Mus musculus: one gene and its partners. The protein of the gene in region 1 interacts with the protein of each later gene in a pairwise test. Links are inferred from orthologs where the notes say so. Each region holds a gene or a part of one and is shown in the gene's direction. Other genes may lie near its edges. The genes, in order: Bnip3, Ldlrad1, Bcl2 and Clec7a.

Evidence for each region.
Region 2: the proteins of Bnip3 (region 1) and Ldlrad1 interact in binary tests that used the Homo sapiens proteins (3 or more experiments, as listed by UniProt). The two-hybrid records come from large-scale screens. The link is inferred for Mus musculus from reciprocal best matches to the Homo sapiens genes BNIP3 and LDLRAD1.
Region 3: the proteins of Bnip3 (region 1) and Bcl2 interact in a two-hybrid assay, tested with the Homo sapiens proteins (2 studies listed by BioGRID and IntAct). The link is inferred for Mus musculus from reciprocal best matches to the Homo sapiens genes BNIP3 and BCL2.
Region 4: the proteins of Bnip3 (region 1) and Clec7a interact in binary tests that used the Homo sapiens proteins (3 or more experiments, as listed by UniProt). The two-hybrid records come from large-scale screens. The link is inferred for Mus musculus from reciprocal best matches to the Homo sapiens genes BNIP3 and CLEC7A.

The regions. Positions count from the first base shown.
Region 1 is NC_000073.6:138,906,495-138,911,206, reverse strand, and holds the start of Bnip3 (BCL2/adenovirus E1B 19 kDa protein-interacting protein 3), read left to right. Parts: upstream 1-1,700; 5' UTR 1,701-1,813; coding exon 1,814-1,844; intron 1,845-4,712. UniProt on the Homo sapiens protein: Apoptosis-inducing protein that can overcome BCL2 suppression. May play a role in repartitioning calcium between the two major intracellular calcium stores in association with BCL2.
Region 2 is NC_000070.6:107,207,400-107,212,407, forward strand, and holds the start of Ldlrad1 (low-density lipoprotein receptor class A domain-containing protein 1), read left to right. Parts: upstream 1-1,744; 5' UTR 1,745-1,765; coding exon of another isoform or gene 1,766-1,801; 5' UTR 1,802-2,070; coding exon 2,071-2,185; intron 2,186-4,208; exon of another isoform or gene 4,209-4,522; intron 4,523-5,008.
Region 3 is NC_000067.6:106,710,887-106,715,901, reverse strand, and holds the start of Bcl2 (apoptosis regulator Bcl-2), read left to right. Parts: upstream 1-1,611; 5' UTR 1,612-3,021; coding exon 3,022-3,597; coding exon of another isoform or gene 3,598-3,621; exon of another isoform or gene 3,622-3,737; intron 3,738-5,015. UniProt on the Homo sapiens protein: Suppresses apoptosis in a variety of cell systems including factor-dependent lymphohematopoietic and neural cells. Regulates cell death by controlling the mitochondrial membrane permeability. Appears to function in a feedback loop system with caspases.
Region 4 is NC_000072.6:129,462,519-129,466,750, reverse strand, and holds part of Clec7a (C-type lectin domain family 7 member A), read left to right. Parts: intron 1-1,177; coding exon 1,178-1,296; intron 1,297-3,583; coding exon 3,584-3,710; 3' UTR 3,711-4,232.

The DNA.
Region 1 (4,712 bases):
AGAAAAAAAAAGAAAGAAAAAAAAAGAAAAAAAAAGGATAAACATAAATTTCTACTTATAACATCCCTAACCCCTTCAAATCCACATTTTCGTTTTTCCTTTTCTTAGTAGACTGGTGTAGAGAATTCCCAGACCCTTCTCTTTCCCTTTGTCATTCAGGCACACATATCTATGCAAGCTGGGGATTGAACCCTTGGATTTGCTGGACACGGAGGCTATCACCAAGCAGGACCACAGCTGTTTCTTGCTGGACACAGAGTCTGTCACCAAGCAGGACCACAGCTGTTTTTTTCTTGCTAGGTGTGGTAGTATGTCTGTAATCCCAGCACCTGGGGGGTTGAGACAAAGGTTTGGTGTCTGTAGCAGAGAATCTGTTTATTGTTCTGAAGGCCCTAGGCTAGAGCTCCGAGCACTGTAAGAAAGCAAGCTTTCAGTTAAGAGTGGTGGAACCACTGGGAAGCTGGGGCAGGAAAAAAAGTTTAAGACCAGAGTAGGTTACAAAGCGAATCTGTCTAAAAAAAGACATCAGATTCAGTCTGGTGACATGGCTCAGCTGCAGTGAACTTGCATGTGCAAGGCCCTCGTATAACCTTAGCACTCCAAACAAAACAAACGGAAATCAAGGCTGCATAGCTATAATCCCAGCTCTCAGGAGGCGAAAGCAGTAGGATCGGAAATTCAAGGTTAGCTTTTGCTACACAGCCAATTCAAAGCCAGCCTCGGTTATGACATTGTCTGGGAAAAAACAAAACACCAAATGAAGCTGCTTCTAGTGACCTGACCCACTGCTACTAAGATAGCTTCTTTTGAGGTTCACAAGCCCCTTCTCTATCCCAGAACTGTATCAAGAGGGAATTCCAACCTCCAAGTACAGAGAAGCTACTGGGTAGGTTACAGGGAGGATGCAGAATCCTCAAAACTGGCCCTCCAAAGGTCTCTCCAACCGTTCCTGTCCAAAAATGCCGTCCTTTCTCGCATGCAGCATACCACAGCACTACCCAACTCGCCATTGATGCTGCAGTAGAATACTGGCAAATTTTTTGTTTTGCTTTGTTGTAAACAGCTTCATACAGTGCAGCCCAGCCTGGCCACGAACCAGGGCTGGGACTAGAGTTATACATAAGCACTCCCGGACTGCATTTTTCTTAAAGATGCAACCTAAAAAACTATCTGTAAGCGTGCATAGAGACAGCGAGACCATGTGTGCTCCCATTGCTGGCGCTCGCAGGTTCCGGAGGAGATTGGGGAACTATGGGTCAACCGCGAGCAGGAGGGGCAAACTCAGCACCCAAGGCCAGACGCCCAAAAACCTGGCCGCACGTCCTCATGCCACGCCTATCTCGGAGCCCGCCCACGTCTGCCCACCTCCAGCCTGGCTTCAAGACCCGCCTCTTGGCCTCTGCAATGCGCGCACCTCGGAGTCCCAAGGCTCAGACCTCGAGCCCCGCCCCCAGACTCTTCCCTACCCGCCTAGGTCCCAGTTACTCCAGCCTCAGGCACAGCCCCCGGTCCACTTCTGCATTAGACCTTAAAAACAGCCGCCCTCCCGCGCACTCCTGCCTCAGGCCCCGCCCATGCCGGCGCACGCGCCGCACGTGCCACACGCTCCCCCGCGTTCCTCCCCCACCTGCAGGCCCCGCCCCCCAGCCAATGGGCTCCGCCGCCGCGTGCGTCCCGCCCCGCCCCGCCCCTTGTCCCTCAGTCCAGTGTCGCCTGGCCTCAGAACTGAGCGGCGCAGGCTGCCCCTGCTACCTCTCGGTGACCGCCTCCCAGGCCTGTCGCAGTTGGGTTCGGGCTCCTTTGCCGAGCCACCATGTCGCAGAGCGGGGAGGAGAACCTGCAGGGTGAGGCAGTGGGCCGAGAGGGGCCGCGGAGGCGGTAGGGTCGCGGGCTGGGGTGCGGTGAGTGGAGGCCGCGATGCAGTTCGGTGCAGCCGGGGCTGGGTGGTGAGCCTCGGGGCATCTTACAGACAGTACCTTCACAGGCAGGCCGGGTCTTTCTTTCCTGCTCTGTTCTTCACACTGTCATAGTTCTGTATTTTCAGACTCTGTAGGTCAGGGGAGCCTCGAACTCTGCGATCCTCCTTCCTCAGCTTCCCGAGTAGCTCAGATTTCAGGCCCTTGGCGTCCCCTTGTTCAGAGTTGCTTAAGTGAGTTAGAGGTTGCAGTTGAATTTTCAGTGCTTTGATTGAAGTCATTAATATTTATGACTGTAGTGCCTTTCACTTTTCCTACTTGGTACTGGGGACAGAACCAGATCTGAACGTGCTGGGTAAGTGCTCATTTCCCGAGCAACACTACCAGTTTTCATTTTATTGCTTTAAGACATACTGGTCTTGAACTTGTGATCCTCCTGGTTCAGCCTCTAGAGTAGCTGGAATTTGGAATTAACAGGCTTTGCCGCTGTGTCCCCTCTCCCCCAATCTTTACCCCTGGCTTGCTTTGTTGCCACTTCCTGATGGAAGAGGAGGATACAGGGTTTCAGACCTCTGTCAGGTTTTAGAGTTAAGAGGTGGGATAGCCGCACAGTGGTGGCACAAACCTTTTATCCCAGCAATCAGGAGGCAGAGGCAGGGGGATTTCTGTAAATTCGAGGCCAACCTGGTCTACAGAGTGAATTTCAGGACAGCCAAGTCTACAAAGAGAAAAACAGAGAGGGGGTATGGCTGGAGGTAGTGTGGAAGAGAGCTACAACAGCTCAAAAGGAGGGTAAAGTGCTTATAATTTAGTTCAGTAGGCTCACTGCAAGCAGTGAAGTAGATTGTAGGTTAAAATGGAAGTGAGGCTGGGTGTGGTGACACACCTAAAATCCCATCATGGGGTGGGTGAAGTTGAGTCTTGACAAATTCCAGGTTAGCCTGGACTACACAGTCGTACCAGGCTAGTTCGGGGCTCTGTAGCCAGACCCTGTCTCACAAATAACAGAAAGGCTCTCCCAGCATCAGCCTTTACAGACTGTTAGCACTGCGCAGACAGCTGCTAGTTTTGCAAGGCCAGCCTGGGTGCTATGTGCCATTGTCCATTTCTGAGAGCTACCTGGTGGGCCTGAGTTGAGTCTGAGTTGAGTCTCAGGCCCTGAGACTGGAGGAGGATCCTGTTGACCTTTGTACTCTCTGAAGCAAGAGTTCACCAGGTAAAACGCATGTCAGTAAACGTGAGAGAGAGGCTTTCCAAACCTTTAAAATGAATGCTTTAGTGTCAACTCCCCTCCCCCCCCCCAGGCAGGGTCTCACTCTCAGTGAACTCCCAGAGATCTGCCTGCCTCCACCTCCCTAGTGCTGGGATTAAAGGTGTGGGCCACAGTACCCACTTTAGTGTGAAGACGTGGTTTCTCTGTATAGCTCTGGCTGTCCTAGAACTTGTGTAGACTATGCTGTCCAGAGATTCTGTGTCCTGGAGTACTGGAATAGGGTAACTCAGAGCAGTGTTGTGTTAAAAGAGTTTTTAAAAAGCTTGCATTCAGAGACACTGAGTTAGCTGAATTTATTACCCTAAACGAGATTTTAGTAGGCAGAATTTAATCAGCCTAACACATTACAGAATCTGTATTTTCAAACTACAGCCACATTAAAAAAAAAATCTCGTAATTCAGGTTTTATTCCCTAATGTCAAACGTCAAACAGTTGGAATTTTTTGATTGAGAAGTTTTTTTGTCTTTTCTCTTAAGAGATCAAGTGATGTTTTGTGTAAAGTCACTTTCGTAGCTAGTTGAAATTTGATTTCTGACACTATGCTGTTAAGACTTCATCTAGGGGAGTTTCTGAGTATTCCTGAGAGGTCTCGGTTAACATACACTCAGCTGACATGCACGCCAGACTGCTGAGTCATTGGCAGAAGGGGGTTGTCATTAGACGTTTCAAGGGTTAAGGTTTTGTGTTTTTCTCTTTTACTTATTCTATAAAAAGATGGTTACGGTGTGGAAACTCAGGCTAAGGATTTGGGCCATTGTTTGGGGTGTACGTGCAGCTCAGCACTGGCTCACTGTCTAGCTCAGGGTAGGAGGGGTCACTTAGTCACATGGGTTATCTCAGCTGCCCTATGAAATGTGAATCCCAGCTTGGAGTCAGAGCTGAGGCAGCTCCTCTGTTTGCCGCTTCGTGTTTACTTCTGAGGCTGAGAGCTGTGGAAGCCTTGTTGGTAGGTGGGACAGCAAATATTCCCCATAGCAACCTCTGGGACCAGCGTTACTGAAGGCGTTACCCACAACACTGATTGGTTCTGTTCCCTTTTTACCTCTGCTCCATCTTATTGAAAGGTGTTTAGGAGCAGGGCTTTTCTGTATGACTTCTGGCATGCTGGAGGAGAGATAAGTATTGTGATATTTCTGTGCCTTGGTTGCTGCCCTTTCCTGAAAGGTCCACTGTATAGATTTAATAAGTCTTCACTTAGCTAGCTGCCCTGTCTGCAACTGGTTCTGATGAGTGGTTCTGTTGGTTATAGGCAAACTATCAAGGACAGACTTGCATGAAGAGAAAACATGGATACACTGAAGGGGTTTCTCCTTGGCTCTAGCCTCTGTAAATAGTCCTAGTGAGATCCAGAGGTTAAGTGGAACTAAGGATGGCTACTTCAGTTAAGGACCTGGCACAGACTGCTCAGCACCAGAGGGGTACCTGGAGCCACCTGACTCAGGATGTATCAGACAGGCACAGCCTAGCAATAGGCAGAGAGATAAGTTCACTCGTCTTAGAATCCAGTAGGTACAGAGATGAT
Region 2 (5,008 bases), on another chromosome or scaffold:
TGTCTGTCTTCGCAGTACTTGGGAAGCAGAGGCAGGAGAATTGCCATGAATTGGAGACCATCCTGGACTATAAAAGCAAGAGTAACATGGATACATACATACATACATACATACATACATACATACATACATACATACAAAGGGACGCTAAAGAATCAAGAGTCTGTGGAAGTCATACTAAAGGGCATGTGTTGGACCAGGAATGTACTCTGCTGTCCACTCTGACATCTGTAGTAGGCATTACTAATCAATCATAGACCCTGACGTTAACATCCTTCTGAAATCATGTGCCTCTTAGTCTCTACTATCGTTGGCACAAAAAAAAGAAATCTAGGTACCATCTTGCGTTTATATTCACCCCCTTCGGCCTTTTCCTTTTCATGGCTTCTCAGCCTGGCTTGCAACCGCCATTGCCCCCCCCCCCTTGCCTACCACAGACCAGTGAAGCTAGGGATACGAGAATTGCCAACAGCTTCATCCAATGGCTGGCAGGATGGGATGAGTGCCCCGCTTCCCTCGGGTGAGTGCCTTTGAGATGCATCTTCACCAGTGTCCCCAAATGCCTCGCAGAATCCAGGTGCTGCCCCATAACAGTGAGCAGCGTCTTTCCCTTCACCTCAGCTCCCTCACTCCACACCAGCATGTCCAGGATCCTTCCCATTAAGACCGTCTGTCCCCTGTTCTTGTCAGAGTGCCCAAGTCTGAGAAACCTACACTCAGGCACCCCTGCATCTACATGCCTGTGAAGGGAAGGGCCTTTCCCAAGCCATTGGCAAGGTCCTTGTGAGAGCCAATACTTAGCTTGCCCAGTCTGATGGCGACCTATGTCTCCAGCCTCCATGGTTTGGCTTGTATTTCCCACCACAAGAGAAATGGCCCAGCACAGAAATCACTGATGGGAACTCCTGGACACCTGCAGTGGGTACTACCCTCGGGGTGGGCCTCAGAGCATCCTCATCTGCTTCAGGGCCCCTGTCTCCTCCTTAGACTAGATTGCTAAGAAATCTACTCCATGCTGGGACAGAAGATATTCTGGAAAGCAGCTAGCTCCCACCCAGATACCACCCCCAAAAAGCTAAAAAATATATTTCTCCATGCTTTCAACAATTCAAATATGTCTTTCTCTCTTTTATTTATTAATATGTGTATGTGTGTGGTAGAGGTGCACGCATGAAGTGTATGGAGTCAGGACAACTATGTAGAGTGGGCGCTCTCCTTGTATCTGCACATTCATCCTGGGACTCAAACGAAGGTCCTCAGGCAGGCACCTTTATCCACTGAGCCATCCTGTTGGCCCTCAGAAGTGCATATTCTTCTGGTCTAGAAGAATGAACATGAACAGTTCATCAATGAGAAAAGGAACTCTACCTTCTGGCCACTGAACCAAGACTCATGGCACTTCTGCCTGTGGCTTCCTTCAGCCAGGGGGCCTTGCCACCCTGCAGTCTGATGATGCAGAGGAGAAAAATGTGTTAAAGCCTTGGTTCCATCTCTCCCACATATAGTGTGACTTGAGGCACAAACACCAGCTTGTCATCTGTGGAATTGGATGCGTCACTGTCCAACTGCAACCTAGGGAAAGACGTGGTAGGAGCAGGTACCCCTGTCCTTTCCTCCGTGGGGGAGGCAGCCTGGGAGGAGAGTGCCACAGGAGAGGGCACAGCCCTAGCAAAGCCTGTTGCTGTCCTGCCCTCCCACAGGCTGCCCTTGGTGACAAGGTGGAGAACTCTACACTGAGCTCTTTATTCCACCTCAGTTCCTGGAGATGAGTGTTGGAACCATGAACAAAGTCTTCCCCCAGGTAAAAGCTGCCTGGGTCTGAACTGACTCTTGACCTAGGGAGCCATTCTGCAGATGGAAAGGGCTTGTGGGAGGGGACCCTAGGACCCACGGCCACATCCATCTGCCCTGGGGACTCGCTCCACCTGAGATCCATGAGTACTGAGAAGCAGCACAGGACACCTAGGGGTGTTAGGGCACTGTCACTAGGAGGACCTGCCTGAGTCAGTTTGGAGGACAAAGGAGGAATGGGTCCTGTACGGGTCGAAATGTGGAAATGTGAAGCCCAGGATGAGCGTGGGCTGTGAGAGAGCAGAATTTTGCCCAGCCTGCTTCTGGTTTCTTGGCCAGGCAGATGCCGAGAGTAACATCACCACTAGAAGGAAAGCCCGCCCTGGAGATGAAGGTAAGGACAGAGGTGGGGGTCAGGCTGGGCGCTGTGGGTCCCTCCCTGGAAACTACCTGACTCTAGGTAGAGAGTGTCTGAGGCTACTCAGCTCTTCTACTCCAGTGTGGGTGGTGAGGTCTGCTTCCAGCTTCCTGGCCAGCCATACTGACAGCTGCTTGCTGGATAGAACTTTTCATTCTCTCCAGCTACCAGCATTTTCTGAGTGCCTACTATGTGCCTTTTGCCTGCTGGGCCACCACACAGAACCTATAAGACCAAGGACCTCCAAATCAACCTCTGGCCCCCATGCCTGACCTGGATGCTCCTGTTGATCATAAGATGGAGTCGGCCAGGACCACACACTTGTACTTATTATGTTTCCCCAATTCCTGTGCAGCCGGGACCTTTGTATCTCCCTGGGTCCATCTTGGCCTACAGTTGATGAAGGAGGAAACAGATAGATGCTAAGAAGGGTTGTAACCCTTTGCAGACCCTTCTGCCTCGGATCCCTGGGGCTGCAGACCTCAGTTTCAGGACAACCCTGGGTGGGTGGGGTACTAGAAGCAGCTGAAGCTAAGAGAGGTTGAATAATCAGGTCACAGTTATATGGCATCGGAAAGGAGGCCCCTGGTTGCTAAGCTTCAGGGTCATGCCCCATGCTGGTGGCTTTTTCCAAGTTGTCACTCAGTGCGGCTTATCATAGGTGTGGTTTTTCTTCCTTTGCCCTGGGTGGGCAGTTTCTGAAGTTTCTGGCTTTAAAGTGGGTTTAAAGCTTCCCTCCACTTCTGAGAGCTCTCAGCCTCATCTGGAGGGCCAGACAAGGTCAACTAGGAAGGAGGGTAGCGACTAAGTCTCCTGTGTCAGGCCACAGAAAGGCAGAGGCAGGTTTCTCTCATCCCTTGGGCTCTTAGGTTCTGAGACAGGCATTGCTCTCACTGGTGCCCTGTGTGGGTTTGTGTGTGTGAGCGCATGCATGTGCAAGCTCGCAAAGTTGCCACCAAGGCAAGAGCTCTGCCTGCTGCTCCAGTCTTGCCTGCAGCCCCACCTTGCACACAACATGAACTGCACAAATATTTGAGGAACAACCACTCAGCCAGCTCTGCTGCCCCGTATCAACACGATCTCCCTGGTGACCCAAGTTTACTCTGTGTTGCTGACCACAAAGGAACCACCAAGCAGGGCTCTAGGAGCCTAGGTTTTTTTAATGTATACTACACCTCCTGTAGGCCTGTTGTCTCATCTACCAACACATACCCACATACCTACATCCTCACCAGCCACCCACCAGGCCTCTCCTCCCAGACCCTCTCCCTGGAAGGCCTGCTCTTTGAGGCCTCTGCCCTGCCCCACCTCATAAATCAGCTGGTTTTCTTGAGGTCCTTATATCACCCGGAGCTCCTCAGAGTCCTGTCCACATCTCCCTAGCTACTTTTCATTTGACACTGCAGGCACAGGTCTTGCTGACAGGTGGCTGGAAACTTGAGTGGAGTGTATTAAATGAGCCAAATCAGGATCCTCCCCTTGTCTGTCTTCTGTATCTCTAGTTTGCGAGCTTGCACATGCATGCGCTCACACACACAAACCCACACAGGGCACCAGTGAGAGCAATGCCTGTCTCAGAACCTAAGAGCCCAAGGGATGAGAGAAACCTGCCTCTGCCTTTCTGTGGCCTGACACAGGAGACTTAGTCGCTACCCTCCTTCCTAGTTGACCTTGTCTGGCCCTCCAGATGAGGCTGAGAGCTCTCAGAAGTGGAGGGAAGCTACTTTCCTGCCTTCCACAGAGCAAGGTGCCCACGAGGCCCCCAAGGAAAGCTGCTTTGCTTCATTTTGCAGGCAAGCAAGAACTAGGGGAAGTAAGCCAGGCATAGTGGTGTACACCCTTAATCCCAGCATTTGGCAGGTGAAGGTAGGCAGATCTCTGTGAGTTCAAGGCCAGGCTGGTCTATCTAGTGAGTTAGGATAGCCAGAGCTATATAGTGAGACTCTGTCTTAAAAAAAAAAAAACAAAAGAAACAAAAAAAAAAAAAAATCAGGGGAGCCAAGCACAATTCTAGAGCGTGGGACATCTGCCAGCTACTCCTGTTACTGCTGTCACCACAATGCCTAGGAACACTGTGGCACTTGGTAGACGTACAGCAAACACTTAGCCCACACTTTGCACCTGCTGTTTTAGAATACTCATTCAACAAACCAACACCACCCAGCAAACTACAGTAACCCTCACGGTGCCGGCTTAGCACTCAAGAAGACTGGGACACAGAAAAGCAAATGGTTCATCATGTGGCTAGGAATCCATGGAGCTGGGACTCCAGGCCACATTCTGAGGGGCACTAGAACAGACGACAGGCTGGAAGTAAGCAAAGGGTCTGGGGTTTGGCATCAAACAGGTGTCATGGCTCAGCCCAGAACAGGGGTGACCAGGACGTTTGCTTCTTTGAACCTCAGTTTGTCATCCACAGAAATCAAGTTCAGGTCCAGTCCATCGTGGCAGGGACTCAGGGAGCTGAAGAGGTGCTCATATCATGCCCGCAGTGGGAAACAGGGATGGATGCAGTCACTGCTTGCTCCTCAGCTCTCTCTCCACTCATGCAGCCCAGCAGCCCATTTAGGGAATTGTATTGCCCACAGTGAATGAACTTTCCCACTGCAATGAATACCACCAAGACAATCCTCCCCACCCCACCCCACCCTGCGCAAGCATGTCTCCAGGCCCCTCTGGGTACACAGATGTCCACTGTCCTATCTATGCCCTTGGTCACGAGGATAGGCTAGGAAGGACAGGAAGGAGAGACAGCCTCTATGGAGCAGAGGCTAGCCCCTGCTGGCATTTGGTGATGAT
Region 3 (5,015 bases), on another chromosome or scaffold:
TATGTCTCAGTAATCTCTCTGGCTGCTGAGAGCTGATAACATAGTTATCACATAGCACAGTTTTTCTTGGTGTTTTATGTATCTATCTCTCAGCTTGATTGTTTCTGTCTGGGTTCATACAAGTGACAGTGGCACTGTGTGTCTGTGGGTACATAGACACATTATCTGTATGGCTGCATCTTCTGAAGCCGTCTCAGGTTGCATGCTGGTCAGAGCTGAGGATATCCAAAACCGTACCTATGCCGTGTTAGGGTCATGGCCTTGAAAGGTGGCAGGTATCACTCCCTGAGGTCCAGCCCCAGCCCAGTGCTGGGAGCGTTAGGAGCAGAGGAAAAACTGTCCCTGAAACTCAAACTTCTGCTGTTCTCTTCTCCTCTCTTCACTGGCCCACTGCGAGTTAGGTCTGGCCTTGGTCACCAAGTTGGGTATGCCTGGATAGAGGCTAAAAGCGCCTGGGTGCTCATGTGGTATCTGCTTGGACACCTCCAAAGTAACTCCGCATACCACTTTGACTATTCTTTAACAAGCCAAGAGCATCAGCGACTGCCATCAGTCTGCCACTGTCTGACTAAGAAGAGATGAGGAAAGACCAGCCTCTGAGGCACATCCCTTGCTGGTTGTGGACATCACATCATGCTCTTCAGAGCAGAGGAGTACTCAGACCTGTTCTAAGTTACACAGCTTGTGGTGTCTGGACAAAAGGGCCTAGAAACAAGCATGCTAACGTTGTTATTCTAAGTATTTTCATTTGTAATTAATATCCTGGAGACTGTGTTGGGAGTTGCCTCTCTTCACCCAAGGGTAGCATATTGGTACTACTCACTACTTAGGAGTCAATATATGTCTCGGTAATCTCTCTGGCTGCTGAGAGCTGATAACATAGTGTTTGGGGGTTCACATGGTTAGCTGAGGGTCTGTTTGATTTTATACACTATATGTGGTTGTATACACTACACTGTTTAAAGGGTCCACATGATTGTAGATACACTGCACTACACACACACACACACACAGAGCGACTGTGTACACACTTTATGTGTGGTTAGAAAGGGTCCATTGGATTGTGCACATTCCATGCACGCGGTTAGAAAGGGTCCATGTGACCTGCACATGCTACATAGAAAAAGTCCATGCGGTCGTGCACACTGTACACGTTGAAAAAGATCCATGCAATTGTGCCCATCCTGTTAGAAAAGATCCAGGTGCCTCGCCACAGCCTGGCCCTGGCTATAGGCACGTCCAGCCAGCAGCCAGCCCCGCAGGCCCGAGGAGGCCCCTCACACGCCCACTGAGCCACTGCCGCCCGGGAGGCCCGCGCCACCCACGGTCCGGGGCCCAGCGTAGCCCGCGGGTGGCCGCCACCCAGGCCAGCGGCCGCGGCCGGGCGCGCGCTCCCCGGGGCGGCCGCGGCGCCTTTAACCCGGGCGGCTGGCGGGCGGCGGGAGGAGGCGGCGGGCGGGCGCTCAGAGGAGGGCTTTCTTTCTTCTTTTTTTTGAATGAACGGTGACGTACGTACAGGAAACCAGGCGCTCCGGCGGAGAATGAAGTAAGAGGCCGGGCCCCCCGCCCCGCGCCCGCCCCCTTCCTCCCCGGCCCGTCCTCCCGCCCCGCGTCCGGGTCCCCGCCGAGCCGCCGCCGCCAACACCGAGGTGCCCAGGCCCTCCCCAGCCGCAGCCGTCACCGTGGAACGGGCTGCGCGGCGCAAGCACGAGGAGGCGGCCGCCAGCGCCGCCCGCAGCGGAGGAGGAGAAAGGGTGCGCAGCCCGGAGGCGGGGTGCGCCGGTGGGGTGCAGCGGAAGAGGGGACCAGGGGGGGACTTCGTAGCAGTCATCCTTTTTAGGAAAAAGAGGGGGGGCAAACCCTCCCCCACCACCTCCTTCTCCCGCAGCGCACCACACACAGTGCGCGGGCTGCTCCTTGGGCACCCGCGGCCCCAGCGCGTCCGTGCCTGCATTTAGCAAGCTGCTTTTTTTCCCGTTTCGGAAAGCGCGTTGGCCCTTCGGAGTTTAATCAGAAGAGGATTCCGGTCCCGGTCCCCCAGCTCCTCCATCGTCCCCTTGGCGTGTCTCTCTGCCCTGGAGGTCTGAAGCGGTCCGGTGGATACGGATCCATGCCTGCGCTCCAGCGTGTGTGTGCAAGTGTAAATTGCCGAGAAGAAGGGAGAATCACAGGACTTCTGCAAATGCTGGACTGAAAAATTGTAATTCATCTGCCGCCGCCGCCGCTGCCTTTTTGCCCCGCTGCGGTGCTCTTGAGATCTCTGGTTGGGATTCCTACGGATTGACATTCTCAGTGAAGCCGGAGTGTGAGGACCCAATCTGGAAACCCTCCTGATTTTTCCTCCACCTAGCCCCCAGACCCCAACTCCCGATTCATTGCAAGTTGTAAAGAAGCTTATACAAGGAGACTTCTGAAGATCGATGGTGTGGTTGCCTTATGTATTTGTTTGGGTTTTACCAAAAAAGGGTAAACTTGACAGAAGATCATGCCGTCCTTAGAAAATACAGTAAGTTCTTTGCACAGGAATTTTGTTTAATATAACTTTCCATGGACGCGTTTGAAATATTTTTTTACTTCAAGTGCATTCAAGCAAATTTCATTTCCAGACAGTTTAATGCATTTTTAAACGTGTAACTTGTAGCGGATATACCTTTCTTACCCTAAATATATAAAGGAAAACACACCTGATTTTAACTTCCTAGGTCGTCCCGCCTCTTCACCTTTCAGCATTGCGGAGGAAGTAGACTGATATTAACAAAGCTTAATAAATAATGTACCTCATGAAATAAAAAGCAGAAAGGAATTTGAATAAAAATTTCCTGCATCTCATGCCAACGGGGAAACACCAGAATCAAGTGTTCGGTGTAACTAAAGACACCCCTTCATCCAAGAATGCAAAGCACATCCAATAAAAGAGCTGGATTATAACTATTCTTTTTTTTTTTTTTTTCTTTCGGGGCCGTGGGGCGGGAGTCGGGACTTGAAGTGCCATTGGTACCTGCAGCTTCTTTTCGGGGAAGGATGGCGCAAGCCGGGAGAACAGGGTATGATAACCGGGAGATCGTGATGAAGTACATACATTATAAGCTGTCACAGAGGGGCTACGAGTGGGATGCTGGAGATGCGGACGCGGCGCCCCTGGGGGCTGCCCCCACCCCTGGCATCTTCTCCTTCCAGCCTGAGAGCAACCCAATGCCCGCTGTGCACCGGGACATGGCTGCCAGGACGTCTCCTCTCAGGCCCCTCGTTGCCACCGCTGGGCCTGCGCTCAGCCCTGTGCCACCTGTGGTCCATCTGACCCTCCGCCGGGCTGGGGATGACTTCTCTCGTCGCTACCGTCGTGACTTCGCAGAGATGTCCAGTCAGCTGCACCTGACGCCCTTCACCGCGAGGGGACGCTTTGCCACGGTGGTGGAGGAACTCTTCAGGGATGGGGTGAACTGGGGGAGGATTGTGGCCTTCTTTGAGTTCGGTGGGGTCATGTGTGTGGAGAGCGTCAACAGGGAGATGTCACCCCTGGTGGACAACATCGCCCTGTGGATGACTGAGTACCTGAACCGGCATCTGCACACCTGGATCCAGGATAACGGAGGCTGGGTAGGTGCATGTCTGGTTGAATGAGTCTGGGCTTTGATCTCAAGGCCAAGATGCGCAGGTTGGGGTGTGAGTGGATTCTGGGTCAAAATGGGCCATTGAGCAGATGAAATAAAGTCGAGTTTGTAGCTTTGCTCCCCTGACCTCTCACTCTCTTCCTCTGGGTACATCACACCCTGCCAACACTGTGTTAACTCCTGCCCGCTGGCTGTGAGGGAGCAAGAATCCAGCATTTTTGATCCAGTAGGATCTGGAGATAATAGCATCCCTCCAGTAACTCTCAGAGTTAGTTCGTCTGAGTAGCTTGCTGCAGATGTTCTGGGTCCTGTGTAAGCACCAGACCTCCAACACTCCCTCTTGACCTATGCATCTTTAGCTCCTCTGGTGGACTAACAAACTTTAAAAGGTCCATCTAGACATGCAGGCTCCACCAGAGGACGCAGGCAAACCTTTTCTAACTCACTTGGGAACATTTTCCCAAAGAAAAACAACACGGCTCCTTTTCCTGGAAATCATAGCTAAGCTTGTAAAAAAAAAAAAAAAAAAAAAAAAAAAAAGGTAAGCTTAGGTAGGTATTCGTGGATGTTTGTGGAATCCAGTCTGTCTATGCCATAGTCCCCAGTGGGCATGGTGGGTGTGCACCCTAAACATGTCCGTCAACGAATATGCGATGATTTAGAAGTCTGCATCCACTGTATGTCTTACTTTTCTCTACCTGCATTCTACATAGTTTTGCGATCTCTACTGCTGAATGGACTTGCATCTAGGGTGCCTATGAAAGGGGTAATGGAGTCCACTTAGCTGTGGCGTCTCCAGCCCTGACAAGTTAAAATGATTCGTATCCACAACACTGGTGAGCATCTATGGGGTGATAGTTTTCTGGGATCTTGGGAGGTTCAGCTTCCATATTTTACCGTGTGATTTAAGCTTTTCTCTGGTTCTTTAAGGGCAGAGAGCAGACTTAAGACTTGCTATAGCTAAAACAATTAAGTTATGTGAAAGCAATCATTATTGTCTGACATTTTTTAAAAGACCTTGTTTTAATGAAAAGGGTTTTCATTTTAGTCCTGCCTTGGTAGTATAAAGAGAACGAATATATATGTGAGTGTGTGTGTGTGTGTGTGTGTGTGTGTGTGTATATATATATATGTATATATATATATACACATATACATATACATATATATTATATCTTAACAGGAACAAAAAGTCTGTAACTGACTGAACGTGAACCAAATATCTAGAAGCACATTCTGTTTTTACTACAGTTTGCAAGATATGCTAATATTCATAGGCCCTGAAAAAGCCAAGAAAAATAGATGATTGATGTGAACATCTGATCTTATTTGACCAAAGTTGACAAAATATTGGTGGCACTGTTCGATGTTTAAAAGTAAAATTAACTCAAATATCAGAGTTTT
Region 4 (4,232 bases), on another chromosome or scaffold:
ATAAGCTGAAAGTTTAATAATTTAAACTTAGATAGTTTAAGTTTAATAAGCATCCTTATTAACAAGAAATTGTACAGAATCAGGAGAACTTACAATACATGTTGAAGGAAAAGTGGGTGAGAACTACAGAAAGCATCCCTCAATACAGTTCCAATCTGCACACTCTATTCTGTCTTCACTACTCTGTTTTTATCTATCTGTGACTCCGTACCCAATAGCTGTAGTTCCTGTGAAAGTTAATGAAAGCAGGAATACAGACAAGGAAGAGGATCCCATTAGAAATTCACCTGGCCTTTGATATCAACCTGTGATTGGCAAAGAATCATCCTATTTTTGTGACCAATTCAAGAGTCTTGGATTATTTTAACCATAAAACATGCAGTGCAGGGCTGAGGATGTAGATCTGTAGAAGAGAGTTTACCTGACACCTGCCAGGCTCTGGGTCTCTTCTACAGCATTATTTTCCTTGGTAAAGCTATTATGAGTTTATGTTTGCTACTTGTACAAAAAACAAATGGCCCATTTCCCACGAAGCTGCTTGGGAGCTGGGCACTGCTGGATTTTGTGTAGTTTGTTAATTGAGGTAGAATATTGATAATTTAAGCCTATTTTCCCCCTTTAGTTTGTGTGAGAGCTTCTGTGTGTGTGTGTGTGTGTGTGTGTGTGTGAGAGAGAGAGAGAGAGAGAGAGAGAGAGAGGGAGAGAGAGAGAGAGAGAGAGAGAGAGAGAGAGAGAGTATATGTATGTATGTATGCATGCATGTATGTTTGCACACTGAACCTAGAGAGATAGGCTTACAACCACCCAACTCCAGGACTCTCCTGTCTTCAATCCCTACCATACAGGAGTTAAAGGCATGTATGGATGCACCTGACATTTTAACATGGATATTGGGAACTCAAATCGAGGTCCTCATGTGTTTGCAGCAAGCATTCTTACCCACTGAGCCATCTCCCTAGCTCACATCTTTATTAATGAATCTATTCTTGATGGAAAAATTAAAAATAACTCTAAAACACCTCTCTAGACATTCAACGATATTCAGTGATTGACAGTCCTCTCTAGATTGTCACCTTATGTGAACGTCCTTCTGTAAAAGGATTCATTCCGCCCTGGATGCCTATAGCATTGTTTTAGGATCCCCCTGATGTATGTTTGTATTTTTGTTTTACTACAGGAGTTCATTGAAAGCCAAACATCGTCTCACCGTATTAATGCATTTTGGATAGGCCTTTCCCGCAATCAGAGTGAAGGGCCATGGTTCTGGGAGGATGGATCAGCATTCTTCCCCAACTCGTAAGTTCCGGTACAGACATGGAGAGGTGGAATCCTACCATGCAGTTACAAAATCTACTTCTCTGGTCACTTATGAGAAAACGGAGTCATGGTGGCGGAGGGAGAGGGAGAAAGAGACATAGAGATGAAGAGAACAGCTCTCAGGGAGGCTGTAAAGGATGCTCTCCTGGTGCTGACTAAGGGATTCCCATGGCATCTGGTCCTTCTGGCCCAGTGAGGAGAGATGCTGTTCAGTGCAGCCTTGGACTTACCTAAGTCTGAGGTAACGATTAACCCAATCTATGTACGTGAGATATTGGACAAATCTCTGTACTTCTTTTATAGCTGCATTCTTTATCCAAAACTGAGAATAGAGTGGCTATTCTTTACAATAGTAAAGTAAAGGGCATAAAGGTAAAATCATTAGCATAATTTTTTTACAGAACCGATGAAAAATGACATCTTATGTCATTATTTCAACTTTATCTTACATTTGTGAACTTAGAATTTCTTCCTAATTGTGTGCTGAAGTCTTTGAAATGTCTATTCATCTGTTCACTAATATTTGTAAATATAAAATTTTATCCCCCTTTCAATGTATATTCCTGCATCCCTGAATCTCCCATTAATGTTAATATATATAGTCCAATTTAATTAAATTTTACTTTTTTTAAATTTTGCTAATGTTTCTCTATCCTCTTTTATCACTTTGGCTAGTGTTGATTCTCATATATATTATTACCTTTCACCTAATTTCTCTGTGTTAAGCTGAATTCTTTCTCTAAATTCTTATGTTGGATGTTTAACTCATCATCTCTAGTCTTTTTTTGGCTTTGGAGTCATTTGGTTCACATGCTTTCTGACTTCCATGGTGAGTTGCTCTTTGATCCAAGACATAGAAATAAATTTCTCACTTTTCACACATACCCATGCTTCTCACATTCCTATTTATCTTTTAGATTTCAGGCTTAGCTCCTCTGTGATCAGAGAACATACTTCATCTGGTGGTAATTCCCTCTTAATTTGTATTGAAAATGTCTACACGGGTCCTCCTATATTTCTTTAAGAGTTTCACTTGATACTTTAAAGCCATATTAAAATATTCATGTGGATTTAGAATTGTTGCATCGTCCTGTTTGATGTCACTTTCCTTCCTTCTTCCCCCCTCTCCTCCCTCCCTCCCTCCCTCCCTCCCTCCCTCCCTCCCTCCCTCCCTCCCTTCCTTTGTAATTTACTGATTTCTGTTTTGATTTTTGTTTATTTCTCATAATTCCTCTGGTTTGCCTGTTTTGTTTTGTTTTGTTTTTGTCACTTGCAGCTCACTTTGCTTACAGTATTCTCAATACTATCTATTAACTTCTAGAGGCCACTCAGGACAGTTGTTTTTAAGTCTGTACCTGCTAACTCTGTGTGCATTCTGTTTTTTCTCCTGTGCATCACTCAAGTTGGTTTGTTTTCTTAAATGCCTAATTGTGTTTGAAAGCTGATTATCAGCATTGCATTGTGAACTGTTTAGGGCTTTTGGGGTCAACTTGAAGTTCATAGAGTAACGCCTCATTTGCTTCCTGAGGATAGTGGTGGCAATGAAAAGCCCACTCCCCCACCCTCACCCAGTGTTACATCATCAGTGCTCAGCTACCTCTCCTCTACTAATTCACTCCAAATGCATTCACTAACAACCCACAGAACATACTCCTTCCTCTTCTGTGGCATTTATTCACCTTGATTTGTTTTCCCATTGTAACAATGAAACGAGATGGTTCTTTGTAACTTCATAAAATGGGCTTAACATTTTAAAATGTTCCAGGGTGGCAGTAACTTAATCTCTGCCCCCAAAACCACTTGAATGTCAGAGAAATTTTCAGAAATTACTGGTAAATATTCTCCCAGAGGTCTGGGTCGAAGCAGTTCATCTTACCCCTGCCAATTCAAGAGCAGATTTTTTCAGTCTACCAACCACAGGGTCAAGAAGAAGCAGTCGTTCAAGGTAGAGTTCAGTAGGTGGTGACTTTTGCACTATGACCCAATGATAATCCTTGAATGTGACTAATTGGCATGGCTCTTTATTTCATTCAACTCATAATACTAGCCTTTCTGAGGGGAAAAAAAACCATCATTTTCTTACCTTAATTATAAAGACAAGTCTATTACCACTTGAAGATTAATACACTCTAAGTTAAAGATTCCTCTTTAAATAATTCAAATGCCTCAAACTATTTTAACCAATGTTCTTAAACTTTCTAGCTCCATGAAAGACCTATGTGGTCTCTGTTTGTTTTAATTACCTCACTGTACTTTTTTCTAACAGGTTTCAAGTCAGAAATACAGCTCCCCAGGAAAGCTTACTGCACAATTGTGTATGGATTCATGGATCAGAGGTCTACAACCAAATCTGCAATACTTCTTCATACAGTATCTGTGAGAAGGAACTGTAAATGTATGTGAGAATATAAAGATGGTGTGTGTGTGTGTGTGTGTGTGTGTGTACATGCACACACACCACCACCACCACCACTACCAACAACAGAACAGAACAGAACAGAACAGAACAGATTAATATTAAAAAACAGAAAAAATGCTGGGATGCTAAGAGACTTTAACCTCATTTGAGAACTTGGATGAAGAAGCTGAGACTTTTGTACTTGTCATCTTCACAAAGATGGTGGCACTATCTTCCAGTTAGGAAGTCACTAGACATGGAGTGAGGGCAGCTCAACAATACAGAGAATATGTGAACCTGAGGTACCCTGACTCAAATTTCACAACCACAATGAAACCCCTACACTATCAGGAAACACTGTAGAGGAGTGAGACTGAAGACTTTAAAAGCCAGAGAATCAGCCTACTTACTGTGGTGTTTTCTAGACAGGACAGGGAAAGTATATCTAGGAAATAAAAACAATACAATTCAGCAAACAAAATCTGCATAATGACAACCTCAGTTGGTATGGTATGTT